Saccharomyces cerevisiae S288C: one gene and its partners. The gene in region 2 interacts genetically with the main gene of each other region. Each region holds a gene or a part of one and is shown on either strand. Other genes may lie near its edges.

What was found.
Region 1: mutations in SAC6 (region 2) and ARP2 are lethal when combined (synthetic lethality), as found in Saccharomyces cerevisiae (3 studies listed by BioGRID, with this or other methods).
Region 3: mutations in SAC6 (region 2) and BBC1 are lethal when combined (synthetic lethality), as found in Saccharomyces cerevisiae (4 studies listed by BioGRID, with this or other methods).
Region 4: mutations in SAC6 (region 2) and ABP1 are lethal when combined (synthetic lethality), as found in Saccharomyces cerevisiae (5 studies listed by BioGRID, with this or other methods).

What each region holds. Positions count from the first base shown.
Region 1 is NC_001136.10:397,351-401,140, forward strand, and holds ARP2 (actin-related protein 2), read left to right. Parts: upstream 1-1,989; coding exon 1,990-2,011; intron 2,012-2,134; coding exon 2,135-3,288; downstream 3,289-3,790. Other genes in the region: SF3a splicing factor complex subunit PRP9, read left to right, coding at 187-1,779; serine/threonine/tyrosine protein kinase MPS1, read right to left, coding at 3,647-3,790. UniProt on the Saccharomyces cerevisiae protein: Functions as ATP-binding component of the Arp2/3 complex which is involved in regulation of actin polymerization and together with an activating nucleation-promoting factor (NPF) mediates the formation of branched actin networks.
Region 2 is NC_001136.10:712,802-717,342, reverse strand, and holds SAC6 (fimbrin), read left to right. Parts: upstream 1-1,963; coding exon 1,964-1,984; intron 1,985-2,095; coding exon 2,096-4,003; downstream 4,004-4,541. Other genes in the region: YDR131C (uncharacterized protein), read left to right, coding at 1-553; FIN1 (Fin1p), read left to right, coding at 721-1,596; MTC5 (Mtc5p), read right to left, coding at 4,348-4,541. UniProt on the Saccharomyces cerevisiae protein: Binds to actin, and functionally associates with actin structures involved in the development and maintenance of cell polarity.
Region 3 is NC_001142.9:398,437-404,349, reverse strand, and holds BBC1 (Bbc1p), read left to right. Parts: upstream 1-1,939; coding exon 1,940-5,413; downstream 5,414-5,913. Other genes in the region: MPS3 (Mps3p), read right to left, coding at 1-1,453. UniProt on the Saccharomyces cerevisiae protein: Involved in the regulation of actin cytoskeleton.
Region 4 is NC_001135.5:263,552-267,426, forward strand, and holds ABP1 (Abp1p), read left to right. Parts: upstream 1-1,516; coding exon 1,517-3,295; downstream 3,296-3,875. Other genes in the region: CSM1 (Csm1p), read left to right, coding at 1-413; YCR087C-A (uncharacterized protein), read right to left, coding at 455-916. UniProt on the Saccharomyces cerevisiae protein: Regulates ARP2/3 complex-mediated actin assembly. Recruits ARP2/3 complex to sides of preexisting actin filaments, which may promote nucleation or stabilization of filament branches. Binds to actin filaments, but not actin monomers.

The DNA of each region.
Region 1 (3,790 bases), 320 kb from region 2:
ATTTTTTTTGTAGCGCATTTTATTCTAACTTTCCGATGAGGCAACAAAGAAGTGTTAAGTATCGGCTGACGAAGTGCAATAAAAAGTACTTAGTTATACGGTAGATCAAGAACCTTCGGTGAGCCAAGCGAGGGTGTATACATTCATTTAATTTTGCTTTAATAGGAGTAGGAGGGCATCATCTCAATGAATTTACTTGAAACAAGGAGGTCCTTGTTGGAGGAGATGGAGATTATTGAAAATGCCATAGCAGAAAGAATTCAGCGGAATCCAGAGTTATATTACCACTATATACAAGAATCGAGCAAGGTGTTTCCTGATACTAAACTGCCTAGATCATCGTTGATTGCAGAGAATAAAATATACAAGTTTAAAAAGGTTAAGAGGAAGAGAAAACAGATAATTTTGCAGCAACATGAGATAAATATTTTTCTTCGAGACTACCAAGAGAAACAACAAACTTTTAATAAAATCAATCGTCCAGAAGAGACACAGGAGGATGACAAGGATTTGCCTAATTTCGAAAGAAAACTACAACAGCTAGAGAAGGAACTGAAAAATGAAGATGAGAACTTTGAATTGGATATCAACTCTAAAAAAGACAAATACGCTTTATTCTCATCTTCTTCTGATCCATCGAGGCGCACAAATATATTGTCTGACAGAGCTCGAGACCTAGACTTAAATGAAATATTTACTAGAGATGAGCAATATGGTGAATATATGGAGCTGGAACAATTTCATTCTTTATGGTTGAATGTAATTAAACGGGGCGATTGTTCACTGCTTCAATTTCTCGACATCCTAGAATTATTTTTGGACGACGAGAAATATTTGCTAACCCCACCGATGGATCGCAAGAATGATAGATACATGGCCTTTTTGCTAAAGTTGAGCAAATATGTAGAAACTTTTTTCTTCAAAAGTTATGCTTTGCTTGACGCTGCGGCAGTTGAAAATCTAATCAAATCTGACTTCGAACATTCATACTGTAGGGGATCTCTTCGGTCCGAGGCAAAAGGTATCTATTGCCCTTTTTGTTCGAGGTGGTTCAAGACATCTTCCGTTTTCGAAAGCCATTTAGTAGGGAAAATTCATAAGAAAAATGAATCTAAAAGAAGAAATTTTGTGTACTCTGAATATAAACTGCATCGGTATTTGAAATATTTAAATGATGAATTTTCTCGAACGAGAAGTTTTGTTGAAAGAAAACTGGCATTTACTGCAAATGAAAGAATGGCAGAAATGGATATCTTAACACAGAAGTATGAAGCACCTGCATATGATTCGACGGAAAAAGAGGGGGCCGAACAAGTGGATGGTGAGCAGAGAGATGGTCAACTGCAAGAAGAGCACCTCTCTGGTAAATCGTTTGACATGCCATTGGGTCCGGATGGATTGCCTATGCCATACTGGCTATACAAACTGCATGGGCTTGACAGAGAGTATCGCTGCGAAATTTGTTCGAATAAAGTTTATAATGGGCGACGCACTTTTGAAAGACATTTCAACGAAGAAAGACATATTTATCACTTGCGATGCCTTGGTATCGAACCTTCTTCAGTATTCAAGGGCATAACCAAAATTAAGGAGGCACAAGAGCTCTGGAAAAATATGCAGGGGCAGTCACAGTTGACATCTATTGCAGCAGTTCCCCCAAAGCCTAATCCTTCACAACTAAAAGTTCCTACAGAATTAGAACTAGAAGAAGAAGACGAAGAAGGAAATGTAATGAGTAAGAAGGTCTACGATGAACTTAAGAAGCAAGGTTTGGTGTGAAATCTCTCTGTGATATGTATATTTGTTTGATAGATAGCAGTTGTATGTATTTATACTATTCTTAGTAATGACCTTATTACCCGTCTTGTAGAATTGAAAGGCGAAAAACAATTTGAGGACCCATATAATGGAAGAAAACGGACGTGAAAGTTAAATATACGTACCAGAAGACAAATCACAGTAATAAACTAACAAAACTATATAATAATAATGGACCCACATAATCCAATTGGTATGTTGTTGATATTTTTAGTGTTTGTGGAGGCAATTGAGCTCGGTGCCCCTTTTGGCTTTGCCTCTTTTGCATTTTAGTTCTTTTACCCCTATATTATTAATACTAACCATCTCGATATAGTCCTTGATCAGGGTACTGGTTTCGTCAAAATTGGTCGTGCTGGCGAGAATTTCCCAGATTACACGTTTCCTTCTATTGTTGGTAGACCCATCTTGAGGGCGGAAGAACGTGCCAGCGTTGCTACACCATTAAAGGACATTATGATTGGTGATGAGGCAAGTGAAGTTCGCTCTTATCTGCAAATATCTTATCCTATGGAAAACGGTATTATTAAGAATTGGACAGATATGGAACTTCTTTGGGATTACGCCTTTTTCGAGCAAATGAAACTACCATCCACCTCCAACGGTAAGATTTTACTAACGGAACCTCCAATGAATCCGCTGAAAAATAGGGAAAAAATGTGTGAGGTAATGTTCGAAAAATACGATTTTGGCGGAGTTTATGTTGCCATCCAAGCTGTTCTAGCATTGTACGCACAAGGTTTGTCTTCAGGAGTCGTCGTCGATTCCGGTGACGGTGTTACTCATATAGTCCCAGTTTACGAATCTGTCGTTTTGAGCCACTTAACAAGAAGATTAGATGTTGCGGGTAGAGACGTTACTAGGCATTTGATTGATCTGCTTTCTCGTCGTGGTTATGCATTTAACAGAACTGCAGATTTCGAAACTGTGCGTCAGATAAAGGAAAAATTATGTTATGTTTCATATGATTTAGACCTAGATACAAAATTGGCTAGAGAAACAACCGCCCTTGTGGAATCGTATGAGTTACCAGATGGCAGGACAATCAAAGTGGGACAAGAGAGATTTGAAGCACCAGAATGTTTGTTCCAACCTGGTTTGGTTGACGTTGAACAACCTGGCGTGGGCGAGCTGTTATTTAATACTGTGCAATCGGCTGATGTTGATATCAGAAGTTCCCTGTATAAGGCCATTGTTCTTTCAGGTGGTTCAAGTATGTACCCAGGGCTGCCTTCGAGATTAGAGAAAGAATTGAAACAATTATGGTTTAGTAGAGTTTTACACAATGACCCTTCAAGACTTGATAAATTCAAAGTTAGAATTGAAGATCCTCCAAGGAGAAAGCATATGGTTTTCATTGGTGGTGCCGTTTTAGCTAGTATCATGGCTGATAAAGACCACATGTGGTTGTCTAAGCAAGAATGGCAAGAAAGCGGGCCATCTGCAATGACTAAATTTGGTCCAAGATAGATTTGAACTTTATTGATCCAAAAGAATTAATAAAAAAGTTTAAATCTACGAATGAAAAATGGAAATGGAATAATATAAACTTATATATAAATGTAATAAGTTAATAAGGCACAATTGTTGAACAAGCAATCAAAATATAATATTTCACTGAGCGCCGTTAGAGGATAGTTATCCTTTTCTTGGTATTTCAAGTATTCAGTGTCTGTGTCGAAAAATTGATTGATGATTTATTTAAATGAATATATATAAATATGTAAAAAAGAGTTGATCAAAGTAAATAAATCAGTACATGCATGGCAAACTCTAAATGTATTTATGTTCATAACTGGCACATGCTTTTCTTCCTTATGCGGCTCTTCTAAATTTTGTAATCTGCAAATTTCCTTAAAACAGTGTCTACCACATCATTGAGATCATCTTGTGATATATGAGGCTTCTCAGAGCCATATCTAACGGCATTCCTAATAAGGTCTTCCATAATCGATCCGGATATCATAAAAGG
Region 2 (4,541 bases):
TAACCCACTAACTCGCTTGAATTTCGATGGTTTCTGCCCTTGTTCAACTTGCAAAAATACAATTCACGAGGTCATTCTAAAAAAAATCTTTCCTGAAACCCGGTCAAAACTTTTAAAGAACCCAAATAAGTTCCAAGCCCATAATTTCTTTTACCAAATGTTTTTCGAGAACAAGATCATGCCCTATACAAACATTATTGACAACGAATCACCTGCGATGGGATGGGATTCTGTACCTATTGAAACGTTTGTACGAAAGTTCAATGAAAATCTGCAAAGCACCATAGAAAATACTGAGAATATTACAGTGAATAAAATTACTAGAGAAGATGCCATTAGTTTGTACCACTTATACCTTCATTATCTAAAAGACGTATTTAAAGTTTTTGAGCAAAGTTTGCCGAACTTAGAATATCTAACCATCAACGGTATACCTACAAAAATAATACAAGTGGACGAGTTACAACGATGCGCGGTTCCCCTCTTCTATAATAATGGCTATAAAAGCAACTCTGTTTATGAATTGGTGGACGCAGAAGCTCTATTTAGTTGATACTGTGAGACATGGCGGTTATAACACGTACATAATGATATATACTCTAAATACTGCAAATTGTCAACAAGAGGAAATCAAAACAAATGGATTGTATAGTCTAGTTAGAGCTTTCTCAGTGTTCTCACTGGATTGCAGTGATGTGACATAGTTCAATAAAACAAATTATGAGCAATAAAAGCAACCGCAGGAGTTTACGTGACATAGGGAATACGATTGGTCGAAATAATATACCAAGTGACAAGGACAATGTCTTTGTGAGATTGAGTATGTCCCCTTTGAGGACGACAAGCCAAAAAGAGTTTTTGAAACCACCTATGAGGATATCACCTAACAAGACAGATGGAATGAAGCATAGTATACAAGTAACACCAAGAAGGATTATGTCGCCGGAATGTCTGAAGGGCTATGTCTCTAAGGAAACTCAAAGCCTGGATAGGCCTCAGTTCAAAAATTCGAATAAAAATGTGAAGATCCAAAACTCAGATCATATAACTAATATAATATTCCCTACATCACCAACCAAACTGACATTCAGTAATGAAAATAAAATCGGGGGTGATGGTTCGTTAACGAGAATACGGGCCCGGTTTAAGAATGGACTCATGTCACCTGAAAGGATACAGCAGCAACAGCAGCAACATATTCTCCCATCGGATGCCAAAAGCAACACTGACCTCTGTTCTAATACTGAGCTCAAGGACGCCCCATTTGAGAATGACCTTCCTCGAGCTAAATTGAAAGGGAAGAATTTATTAGTTGAACTCAAGAAAGAAGAGGAAGACGTGGGAAATGGCATAGAATCCCTTACTAAATCGAACACTAAACTGAATTCCATGCTGGCGAACGAAGGTAAGATACACAAAGCTAGTTTCCAGAAAAGTGTAAAATTTAAACTACCTGATAATATAGTGACTGAAGAAACCGTGGAACTTAAAGAAATAAAGGACTTGCTACTACAAATGTTGAGAAGACAGCGAGAGATTGAATCAAGATTATCCAATATCGAACTTCAACTCACGGAAATACCGAAACATAAGTAATCATATCCCTTCTCACATTTTTTACACAGGAAGTAAGCAAGTTATGTTATATTTCCGACACTATAATTAATTCTTAGCAGTTAAAGGTGCTTTGTCTATATTACATTTACATACAGCTTGAGTGATCCTGACCGGATATAGGGTCCTATTTTCTTACGTGAACGGCTTTTCTTCTTGTTCCCGATGGCCTTCATGTGAAAAAGCACTCCTCGGGAGGCGGAAAAATATCAAAAGTACGGGGCGAAGTTTATAATGAAGATTTATCGATATAAATTTTGGTTATTTCAGGAGAACAAGAAAGCTCTTTACACTAAAATTATCAGAGAAGAAGCTGATATATTAGCCCTAAGGAGTACACCAAAACACAATGAATATTGTCAAATTACAAGTATGTATGCCTTTCTCGAATTCCCACACTGCTGAGCACAGTGAAAAAGTTTTTTCTACCTTTTAGGTTGTAATAAACGTTTCATATACTAACAAACTCTTCTGCGATTAGAGAAAATTTCCAATTTTGACTCAAGAGGATCTTTTTTCCACAATTGAAAAGTTCAGAGCCATTGACTTAGATGATAAAGGATGGGTTGAAAAACAGCAAGCTCTAGAAGCGGTGTCCAAAGATGGTGATGCTACTTATGACGAAGCAAGAGAAACCCTGAAGCATGTGGGTGTGGATGCGTCAGGCCGTGTTGAACTGGACGATTACGTCGGGTTGGTTGCAAAATTAAGAGAATCTAAAACAGGAGCTGCTCCACAGACCACTTTCAACGTAGCACCTAACTCAACCCCTATTGTTTCCACTGCTGCCACAGGACTACAGCACAAGGGTAAGGGTACTCAAGCCAAGATTATTGTTGCTGGCTCCCAAACAGGTACTACACATACCATCAATGAAGAAGAAAGACGTGAATTTACTAAACATATCAATAGCGTCTTGGCGGGAGACCAAGATATAGGTGATTTGCTTCCATTTCCTACTGATACTTTCCAATTATTTGATGAATGTAGGGATGGGTTGGTGCTATCTAAGTTGATCAACGACTCTGTTCCTGATACTATCGATACAAGAGTTTTGAATTGGCCTAAGAAGGGTAAGGAATTGAATAATTTTCAGGCTAGTGAAAATGCTAATATTGTTATTAATTCTGCAAAAGCCATTGGTTGTGTCGTTGTTAATGTTCATTCCGAGGACATTATTGAAGGTAGAGAGCATTTGATCCTGGGTTTGATTTGGCAAATTATTAGGAGAGGTTTGTTAAGTAAAATTGATATTAAGCTGCATCCTGAGTTATACCGTCTATTGGAGGATGATGAAACGTTGGAGCAATTTTTGAGGTTGCCTCCGGAGCAAATTCTACTACGTTGGTTTAACTACCATTTGAAGCAAGCAAACTGGAACAGAAGGGTTACCAATTTTTCAAAAGACGTGTCTGATGGTGAAAACTATACTATCTTGTTGAACCAGTTGGACCCCGCCTTGTGTTCTAAGGCACCATTACAAACCACAGATTTAATGGAGAGAGCTGAGCAAGTTTTACAAAATGCTGAAAAGCTAGATTGTAGAAAGTATTTAACCCCAAGTTCATTAGTTGCGGGGAACCCTAAATTAAACCTGGCTTTCGTGGCACATCTATTCAATACACATCCTGGATTAGAGCCTATTCAGGAAGAGGAAAAGCCTGAAATTGAAGAATTTGACGCCGAAGGTGAGAGAGAGGCAAGAGTCTTTACCTTATGGTTGAACTCTCTTGACGTTGATCCACCTGTCATTTCGCTGTTTGATGATTTGAAGGATGGTTTGATATTATTGCAAGCTTACGAAAAGGTGATGCCCGGTGCTGTTGATTTTAAACATGTCAACAAAAGACCGGCCTCGGGTGCAGAGATATCCAGATTCAAAGCCTTAGAAAACACCAACTATGCAGTCGACTTGGGCAGAGCCAAAGGATTTTCTTTGGTTGGTATCGAAGGATCTGATATTGTAGATGGTAACAAATTACTGACCTTAGGGTTAGTGTGGCAATTGATGCGTAGAAATATTTCGATAACCATGAAGACATTATCCTCAAGTGGTAGAGACATGAGTGATTCTCAAATATTAAAGTGGGCCCAAGACCAGGTAACTAAAGGTGGTAAAAACTCTACCATTAGATCATTTAAGGACCAAGCTTTATCAAACGCCCACTTCTTATTGGATGTTCTGAATGGTATCGCGCCGGGCTATGTTGATTATGATCTAGTCACCCCTGGTAACACCGAGGAAGAAAGGTACGCAAACGCAAGATTGGCTATTTCTATTGCTAGAAAGTTGGGTGCTTTGATTTGGTTGGTGCCAGAAGATATCAACGAAGTTCGTGCAAGATTAATTATTACTTTTATCGCTTCGTTAATGACTTTGAACAAATGAGCCAACAAACAACTTTCGTAACCTGTTTTCTACTCAGCTTTCTTGTTCCAATGCTCCGTTATACGATTGGTTAAGTGTACAACAATATATAGCCTCAAGTATTTCTGAAGTTTTTAATATGTAATAATAGATTTCAACTTCCACCTACTTTTATTCGTGATTACTGAGCCATTGTAAAAATGCCTCCAACGCTCAATGATTCCGTTGTCGTCTTCTATCATGCCTCTACTGGATTAAAAAATCGTAAATAAACTACTTATTAAGCCATATATCCTGTGAACTTTTTTTCATATACATCCAAGGTTCTTTGAAATATGCAGAAAATGTACGTGATAGTTAAGCTTTTAGGCATCGAACATTTCCGGACAATTGCACCCACATCCAGATGGGCACTCATCACCAATCTCCCACCATATCCTCGCGCACGAAGAGTGTAAAACATGTTGACAATTTCCACATATGAAGCTACTTCTTGTCACTCTTAAATCACAGTAATTACAATTTCGGGCTAGGAATTTTTCTTCTCCAAACTCGTTGT
Region 3 (5,913 bases), on a different chromosome or scaffold from region 2:
ACCCAGGTTCGTTCTCACATTGCCAGTAAGTTGAGGAGCTTTGTTTGGAGTCGGTCAGTAATTCTATCGGCTGTACCCCACTGCCCTGTCTCCAGGTTGGTGAAGTTAAATGGTTCAATAGTTTAGTACCTTGAACATAAGTAGCAAAATCTAAATCGTCCTCCCATTGGTGTTGATTGGAATTGTAAATTTGGTGAATTAATCTTTTCATTAATATGCTCGAATACTGCTGTGGCACGTTAGAATAATCCTGTTGAACCTGCTGCTGCTGCTGCTGCTGCTGTGTCTCTAACCTATTTGTGATCTCTTCCCAAATCTCCTGTTTGTTAGATTGCAACCTTCTGTTCATTTCTTGGATGAAATAATCCTTATCGATATATTGCAACTCATTCGAAAGAATTTCCTTTACATAGCGATTCAAATCATACTCCCAACGACTTTCAGCGCTTCCAGCAGTACCAATGCCTGGAGACTCAATAACGTCTGAAATCAAAGCACTCAAATAATTGTGCAATTCAGGGATTATTAAAAGCGACGAAGAATTATTAATTACAACGGGTATTTCTTGAGGGAGGTGTGTATCCAACTGTTTTACCAGTTGATCTTGCCATTGAGTAACATTCTCGACCGTAAATTTGTGATTTCGCCTCTGTAACTCACTCATGGAAGTTGAAATTGTCTCAACCTGTTTTGTCAGCGAGTTAATGTCATTTTCAAAATTAACCAAATTTGAGGGTAAAAGTCTTTTAATATTCTTTTCAAATTGAGAGACAATGATTTTTACTGTTTTATCCAATTCTGAACTGTGCTTTTCGTCCCGCTTACTCAACTCACTATATAAATGATTCACCTGTTTTTGTAGGTTGCTGAATGATTTGCCTGGAGAGGATGTAGCGCCGGATGAATGGCTTTCTAAATCATTATTTTTCACGGTTGTCATCAAAAAAGATCCAAAAAAATAAAAAACGAAGAAAAGGCCTCCATAGAAAATGTACGTCCGCCACTTCAACTTCTTAGCTTCACCTGAACTTTCCAAGTTCTCTTCAAAGTCAGAATTACTTTCCAAATCGTAGCTGTCGGAATCGCTGTCTTCTATAAAACTCTTGTCTGCCTCATCTGTATAGTCCTCGTCGCTATATCCGTCGGTCTCTTGTCCATTATCCTCAATGTACGGATCATCATCGTCGTCATCATTATGTTGGTCTAACGGAAAATCAAGATTTTTTTTGAACATTTCGTACGCGGAATCATTCTCTTTATCCATATCATAGTTGTCAGTTTCACCGCCATCGGTGTATATCCCTTTTTTGATGGCTCGTAGGCTAATCTCCTGTTCCCTATTCATTTTGTCCTTGAGGACATCTGCATACGCGGACTTTACAGCCTTATTGTAAGGCATTTGTTCATTAGCCGCTCCTGCCTCTTCCCGCCTATGCTCATTTGAGTTATTCATTTCCAGCACTTCCAGGATAAAAGTTACTACCAACTGAAAACAAGAGAAACCGCCGTGAAACTATGGAGCACTACAGTTAAAACACCACTAACTCCACTCTGTTGACTTTTATCTGTAACTCCTCATGACAACCTTGTTGATAATTATCTCAAGATGACGATATTTACATTGTCATTATATTCCATTTTCGCGTCTCATATGTTACCCGTATCAAAGAGTATAACCCTATCAATAAGTGATGTGTATCATTTATAAACCTCATATTTTAAGAATAAACCTATATAATATAGGAATATACCCTGAAAATAGTTAGAGGTCTACAATGCCCCTATTTTACCTCCAGAATTATAATCTCCTTAAGACTTCAACTAGAAGTGGTATTTACTAGCACACTGTGAAACAGTAGCGTCAAGTCGGTAGTAAACATCAATCGCGTCCCAACTGCAAGAGCTACTAGAAGTAAACACAGTCTTACCCAAACTAAGGATGAGTGAACCCGAAGTGCCCTTCAAGGTGGTGGCTCAGTTCCCATACAAGTCCGATTACGAGGACGATTTAAATTTTGAAAAAGATCAAGAGATTATTGTTACGTCTGTTGAAGACGCCGAATGGTACTTTGGTGAATACCAGGATTCAAATGGCGACGTTATTGAGGGTATCTTCCCGAAAAGTTTTGTTGCTGTTCAGGGATCTGAAGTTGGAAAGGAAGCCGAATCATCTCCGAATACCGGTTCCACTGAGCAACGTACAATCCAGCCGGAAGTAGAACAAAAGGACCTACCAGAGCCCATTTCCCCTGAAACGAAGAAAGAAACTCTGTCCGGGCCAGTGCCAGTTCCAGCCGCTACAGTGCCAGTTCCAGCCGCTACAGTGCCAGTTCCAGCCGCTACAGCAGTATCAGCACAGGTCCAGCATGATAGTAGTAGTGGTAATGGCGAAAGAAAAGTTCCCATGGATTCTCCAAAATTGAAGGCTCGCTTATCTATGTTTAATCAAGATATAACGGAGCAAGTTCCTTTACCAAAATCAACTCACTTGGATTTAGAAAACATACCTGTGAAAAAAACAATTGTGGCAGATGCTCCTAAATACTATGTCCCCCCTGGAATTCCAACAAATGATACGTCCAATCTTGAAAGGAAAAAGTCCCTAAAGGAAAACGAAAAAAAGATTGTTCCCGAACCAATTAATCGTGCACAGGTGGAAAGTGGAAGAATAGAAACTGAGAATGACCAATTAAAGAAGGATTTGCCCCAGATGAGCCTTAAAGAAAGAATTGCTCTTTTACAGGAGCAACAAAGATTACAGGCTGCAAGAGAAGAAGAACTCTTGAGAAAAAAGGCTAAGCTCGAACAAGAACATGAACGTAGTGCGGTTAACAAGAATGAGCCCTATACGGAAACTGAAGAAGCAGAAGAAAATGAAAAAACTGAACCGAAACCTGAATTTACGCCTGAAACTGAGCACAACGAGGAACCGCAAATGGAATTATTGGCACATAAAGAGATTACTAAAACCTCACGCGAAGCAGATGAAGGCACGAATGACATAGAGAAAGAACAATTTTTAGATGAGTACACAAAGGAAAATCAGAAAGTTGAGGAGTCACAAGCAGACGAGGCAAGAGGAGAAAATGTTGCTGAGGAAAGCGAAATAGGTTACGGCCATGAAGACAGAGAGGGAGATAATGATGAGGAAAAAGAAGAGGAAGATAGTGAAGAGAATCGTAGGGCCGCATTGAGAGAAAGAATGGCTAAACTATCTGGCGCTAGTAGATTCGGTGCTCCTGTTGGTTTTAACCCCTTCGGTATGGCTTCTGGAGTTGGAAATAAACCATCAGAAGAGCCGAAAAAGAAACAGCATAAGGAGAAGGAGGAGGAGGAACCTGAACAGCTCCAAGAACTACCTCGTGCCATACCTGTTATGCCATTTGTTGACCCAAGTTCTAACCCATTTTTTAGGAAATCAAATCTAAGTGAGAAGAATCAACCCACTGAAACAAAGACGCTAGATCCTCATGCAACCACAGAGCATGAACAGAAGCAAGAACATGGTACACACGCCTATCACAATTTAGCTGCTGTTGATAATGCACATCCCGAATACTCTGACCATGATTCTGATGAAGATACTGACGACCACGAGTTTGAGGATGCAAACGATGGGTTGAGAAAGCATTCGATGGTGGAGCAAGCTTTTCAGATAGGTAATAATGAGTCAGAGAATGTTAATTCCGGAGAAAAAATTTACCCTCAAGAACCACCAATCTCCCACCGTACTGCAGAAGTATCACATGATATTGAAAATTCATCACAAAACACAACTGGAAATGTTTTGCCTGTCTCTTCCCCACAAACAAGAGTTGCTCGCAACGGGTCGATAAATTCTTTGACTAAATCCATTTCAGGGGAAAATCGGCGGAAATCCATAAACGAGTATCATGATACAGTTTCCACTAATTCATCTGCATTAACAGAAACCGCTCAAGATATTTCGATGGCAGCTCCAGCAGCTCCAGTTCTAAGTAAGGTGTCACATCCTGAGGACAAGGTGCCACCTCACCCAGTGCCTTCTGCACCCTCTGCACCTCCAGTACCCTCTGCACCTTCAGTACCCTCTGCACCTCCAGTACCTCCAGCACCTCCAGCACTCTCTGCACCTTCAGTACCCCCAGTACCCCCAGTACCTCCAGTATCTTCAGCACCTCCAGCACTCTCAGCACCTTCAATACCTCCAGTACCTCCAACACCTCCAGCACCTCCAGCACCTCCAGCGCCTCTTGCGCTGCCTAAACACAATGAAGTAGAAGAACATGTCAAGTCATCTGCTCCCCTTCCACCTGTATCCGAGGAATATCATCCTATGCCAAATACTGCTCCGCCACTTCCACGTGCACCACCAGTACCACCGGCTACTTTTGAATTTGACTCTGAACCAACAGCCACTCATTCACATACAGCTCCTTCTCCTCCACCACATCAAAATGTCACGGCCTCTACACCTTCAATGATGAGTACGCAACAACGTGTGCCAACCTCAGTACTATCTGGGGCAGAAAAAGAATCACGAACCCTACCGCCCCATGTGCCTTCATTGACGAATCGTCCTGTGGATTCATTCCATGAGTCAGATACTACACCGAAGGTGGCCTCTATAAGAAGGTCAACGACGCATGATGTAGGCGAGATTTCCAACAACGTCAAGATAGAGTTTAATGCACAAGAAAGATGGTGGATTAATAAAAGCGCACCTCCTGCTATAAGCAATCTGAAGTTGAACTTTTTGATGGAGATCGATGATCATTTCATTTCCAAAAGATTACATCAAAAATGGGTGGTAAGGGATTTTTACTTCTTGTTTGAAAACTATTCGCAACTAAGATTCTCCTTGACCTTTAATAGTACAAGCCCAGAGAAAACGGTAACGACTCTTCAAGAACGCTTTCCATCGCCAGTCGAAACACAATCAGCACGTATTCTTGATGAATACGCTCAAAGGTTTAATGCGAAAGTTGTAGAGAAATCTCATTCATTGATAAATTCACATATTGGGGCTAAGAATTTCGTGTCACAAATTGTATCCGAATTCAAAGACGAAGTTATACAACCCATAGGAGCAAGAACGTTTGGCGCAACTATATTGAGTTATAAACCTGAAGAAGGAATCGAACAGTTGATGAAGAGCTTACAGAAGATTAAACCAGGTGACATTCTTGTAATTAGAAAGGCCAAATTTGAAGCTCATAAAAAGATCGGAAAAAACGAAATTATCAACGTTGGAATGGACTCCGCCGCTCCGTATTCGAGTGTTGTTACTGATTATGATTTTACAAAGAATAAGTTTAGAGTTATCGAAAATCACGAGGGAAAGATTATTCAAAACAGCTACAAGCTAAGCCATATGAAAAGTGGGAAGTTAAAGGTTTTCAGAATTGTTGCGAGAGGATACGTAGGTTGGTAATTTACCCAATGCTTCCAAGGGGAAATTGTGAATGCTTTCGATTTCATCATTTTCCTTTCGCATTTTCTTATCGTTATAGTTTAAGTGTATATTTTCATAACTCTTCTACAGAAGAAACTATACAAAGATTAAACAACCGTTTTTGTATCAGGTCTTATTTGAGCGGCTCAAAACGAAAGGTAGGATTCACTTATCTTACCGCCGTCAATAGTATCCCAAGTTGTACCTTTTCGTATATACCTACAATTCTGGCTTCAGACGCAGTAATTTTTGAGCAATCGTAACAAACGGTTTGCCCCTAGAGTTTGAATTTTTCTTCATCACTCCATGATAGTGCTCTCATATATTATCTTACGGAAATTAATCCAATATAGGTGCCCAAAGGTTGAAATTAATACGAACTTTGACCTGGCCTTAATTATCGATTCTAATACTATCTGAGTTTAAAGAACTTGCGGGGAAGAAATACGGAAAACATAGAAAGGCGATGGCAGATGAAG
Region 4 (3,875 bases), on a different chromosome or scaffold from region 2:
ACGCACAAGTCAAGGAGCTGAAGACTCAGACTTCCCAACAGGCAGAAAATTCAGAAGTCATAAAGGACCTTTACGAGTACCTCTGTAACGTACGTGTACATAAAAGCTACGAGGATGATTCTGGGTTGTGGTTCGACATCTCGCAGGGCACCCACTCAGGGGGATCTTCCGATGATTATTCGATAATGGACTATAAACTCGGATTTGTCAAGGGCCAGGCCCAAGTCACAGAAGTCATATATGCGCCCGTTCTTAAACAGCGATCCACCGAGGAACTATACTCGCTACAGTCGAAACTACCGGAATACCTCTTCGAAACGTTGAGTTTCCCCCTCTCGTCGCTAAACCAATTCTATAACAAAATCGCTAAAAGCCTGAATAAGAAAAGAGAGAAAAAAGATGAAACCGAGTAAGCTGCTACATAATGTCTATATATCTACACATAAAATTCCGATTATTCCTTTGCATACCTGATTTGCCCCTCAGAATCCACAACCAGACTTTTCAAGAAGGTCTTTTTTGCCCCTTTATCCTTCATGGTTTTCAAAATTTTGTACAACGACTTGCCCTTGTGAAGCTCGATACCGTTCGAGGTCTTTTCCACTTTCTCTGCCTTCTTGATCACAGGCTTCTCCACTTTCTTTGCAGGAGTTGCCACTGGCTGGTGCTGGTGCTGCTTCTGCTGCTGCTTCTGCTGCTGCTTCTGCTTCTGCTTCTTGTTGCCCTTGTACAACGCTTTCTGGTACTTCTCGTCCTCGCTGATGCAAGACGTGTGATTCTTGTAACTCACGCCATCTTCAAACGTCTTGGAGCAATCTATGCATGTATAGTACGCGTTAGGACATCTATAATAATGCTTTTCGGTATTCTTCTTGGGCACAGTATCATTACACACCTCACAGTTGAACGTAACCATCCTGTAATAACAAATATTTCTTGACTGAGACCGTTTGCTGTTGTATACAGAATACTCTTAGAGCTCATCGCAAGTTAAAAATTTTCAATTTTTTTTCACTTTTTCCCGTCAAGGCAAAAAGCAACCAAAAGAGAATGAACCTTTATTTTTGATTTATTTATTATGAGATGCTGCTAGTCCACTCATCTGCATCAATGTAGTAGTCACAAAGCTAATATTTAGACGTTACTTTGATATCTCTGTCCATGAGAGCACTTATTTTAGGAAGTTAAATGAGACAGTCAATAGTTCACAATATCCCGTCAGCAATGGAGGGAAAAGGCATTCCTTTTCCATAGGATTTTAATCGTTTTCAAGCATCATACGCCCTCGAGGAACTCTTGTTTTCGCTTTACTATGCAACCATTGATGTATTTCTGTATAAATGTGCGTCACGTGGCCTTGTGTCTCTTATTTCCACTTGTTTTTTCACAATGCGGAAAACCTCGATTAAAGTAGAAAAAAAGGATATAATAGGAGTATACCATATTGGATAGTTCAATCTATAAACAAACAATCGCATAACCGCACGTATATACACGCACACACCTATCAATCACAATGGCTTTGGAACCTATTGATTATACTACTCACTCGAGAGAGATCGACGCAGAGTACCTGAAGATTGTCAGAGGCTCCGATCCTGACACCACCTGGTTGATTATTTCACCCAATGCGAAAAAAGAATACGAACCTGAGTCTACCGGTTCCTCCTTTCACGATTTCTTGCAATTGTTTGATGAAACCAAGGTCCAGTACGGACTGGCACGTGTGTCCCCACCAGGGTCAGACGTTGAGAAGATTATTATCATTGGTTGGTGTCCTGATTCTGCGCCATTGAAGACAAGGGCCTCTTTCGCCGCCAATTTTGCTGCAGTTGCTAATAATCTGTTCAAGGGTTACCACGTTCAAGTTACCGCCAGAGACGAGGACGATCTTGACGAAAATGAACTGTTGATGAAAATCAGTAACGCGGCCGGTGCCCGTTATTCTATTCAGACTTCCTCCAAGCAACAGGGGAAGGCTTCCACTCCTCCCGTGAAGAAATCCTTCACACCTTCCAAGAGCCCTGCTCCAGTTTCTAAGAAGGAACCAGTCAAGACTCCTTCCCCAGCACCTGCTGCTAAGATTTCTTCCCGTGTTAACGACAACAATGACGACGACGATTGGAATGAGCCTGAATTAAAGGAACGCGACTTCGATCAGGCTCCCCTGAAACCAAATCAATCATCTTACAAACCAATTGGCAAAATCGACTTGCAAAAAGTGATTGCTGAAGAAAAGGCTAAGGAGGACCCACGTCTTGTTCAAAAGCCAACCGCTGCTGGTTCCAAGATTGATCCTAGTTCTGATATCGCTAATTTAAAGAACGAATCAAAATTAAAGAGGGACTCCGAGTTTAACTCCTTTTTGGGCACCACTAAACCCCCCTCCATGACGGAATCTTCATTAAAGAATGATGATGATAAAGTCATTAAGGGTTTTAGAAACGAGAAATCACCTGCTCAATTATGGGCCGAAAGAAAGGCAAAGCAAAACAGCGGCAACGCCGAAACTAAGGCTGAGGCACCAAAACCTGAAGTTCCAGAAGATGAGCCTGAAGGTGAACCTGACGTCAAAGATTTGAAATCAAAATTTGAAGGATTGGCCGCTTCAGAAAAAGAGGAGGAAGAAATGGAAAACAAATTTGCTCCTCCTCCAAAGAAATCAGAACCAACTATTATCTCACCAAAACCCTTCTCCAAGCCACAAGAACCTGTGAAAGCTGAAGAAGCCGAGCAGCCTAAGACTGATTACAAGAAGATCGGCAACCCATTACCCGGTATGCACATTGAAGCGGATAATGAGGAAGAACCAGAAGAGAATGATGATGACTGGGATGATGATGAAGACGAGGCTGCTCAACCTCCTTTGCCTTCGAGGAATGTTGCGTCAGGAGCACCAGTGCAAAAAGAAGAGCCTGAACAAGAAGAGATCGCCCCAAGCTTACCTTCTAGAAACTCGATCCCAGCTCCAAAACAAGAAGAAGCACCTGAACAAGCACCTGAAGAAGAAATTGAAGAAGAAGCTGAGGAAGCCGCTCCACAGCTGCCATCAAGAAGCTCTGCAGCTCCTCCTCCGCCTCCAAGACGAGCAACTCCAGAGAAAAAGCCAAAGGAAAATCCTTGGGCCACAGCAGAATATGATTACGATGCTGCAGAAGATAACGAACTGACCTTTGTGGAAAATGACAAGATTATCAATATTGAATTTGTCGACGATGACTGGTGGCTAGGGGAACTAGAGAAAGACGGCTCAAAAGGTCTCTTCCCCAGCAATTATGTGTCTTTGGGCAACTAGAATCACACGTCAGCGTCATGCTATTATATTATTCTTACGTAAAAAAATACTTACAGAGACGTTAAAGCTTTTGTATAGATACTTTCACGAGCCTTCCCTTTCAGTAAAATGAACAAATTATTTTGCCTTGTCCTTCTTTGTTTCAAGCGTTTATATGACTCCTCTACAGTATTATTTTTCAACAGACGGTGTGCCCGTACGGCGTTGTCAAAACCTCGAACATAAAACAACACTGAAACAAACTTATTGCACTCCTGCATCGCATACAGATCTGATACTTACTACAACCATAATGCTGTTTTAGAATCGCATCAGGTGTTTACCAGAAGTGTATGGTACATGGTGCTTTCCTTATGCTCACTATTTCGGATTTACTTCTAGTCTATGTATAGATTTGTTAGAGACCAGTTTTAAGCTACAATGGAACGTTAAGATTAAGAAATGCATGAAGAGTCTCCCAGTAGATATATAAAGCTGAATTAAATTCAGTACAATGGAAGTTTCCACGTCTTTCTGTATTTTCATACCTTTAATTATAGGAAAAGCACACTACAAAAATACGCTATCATCTACCGAATAT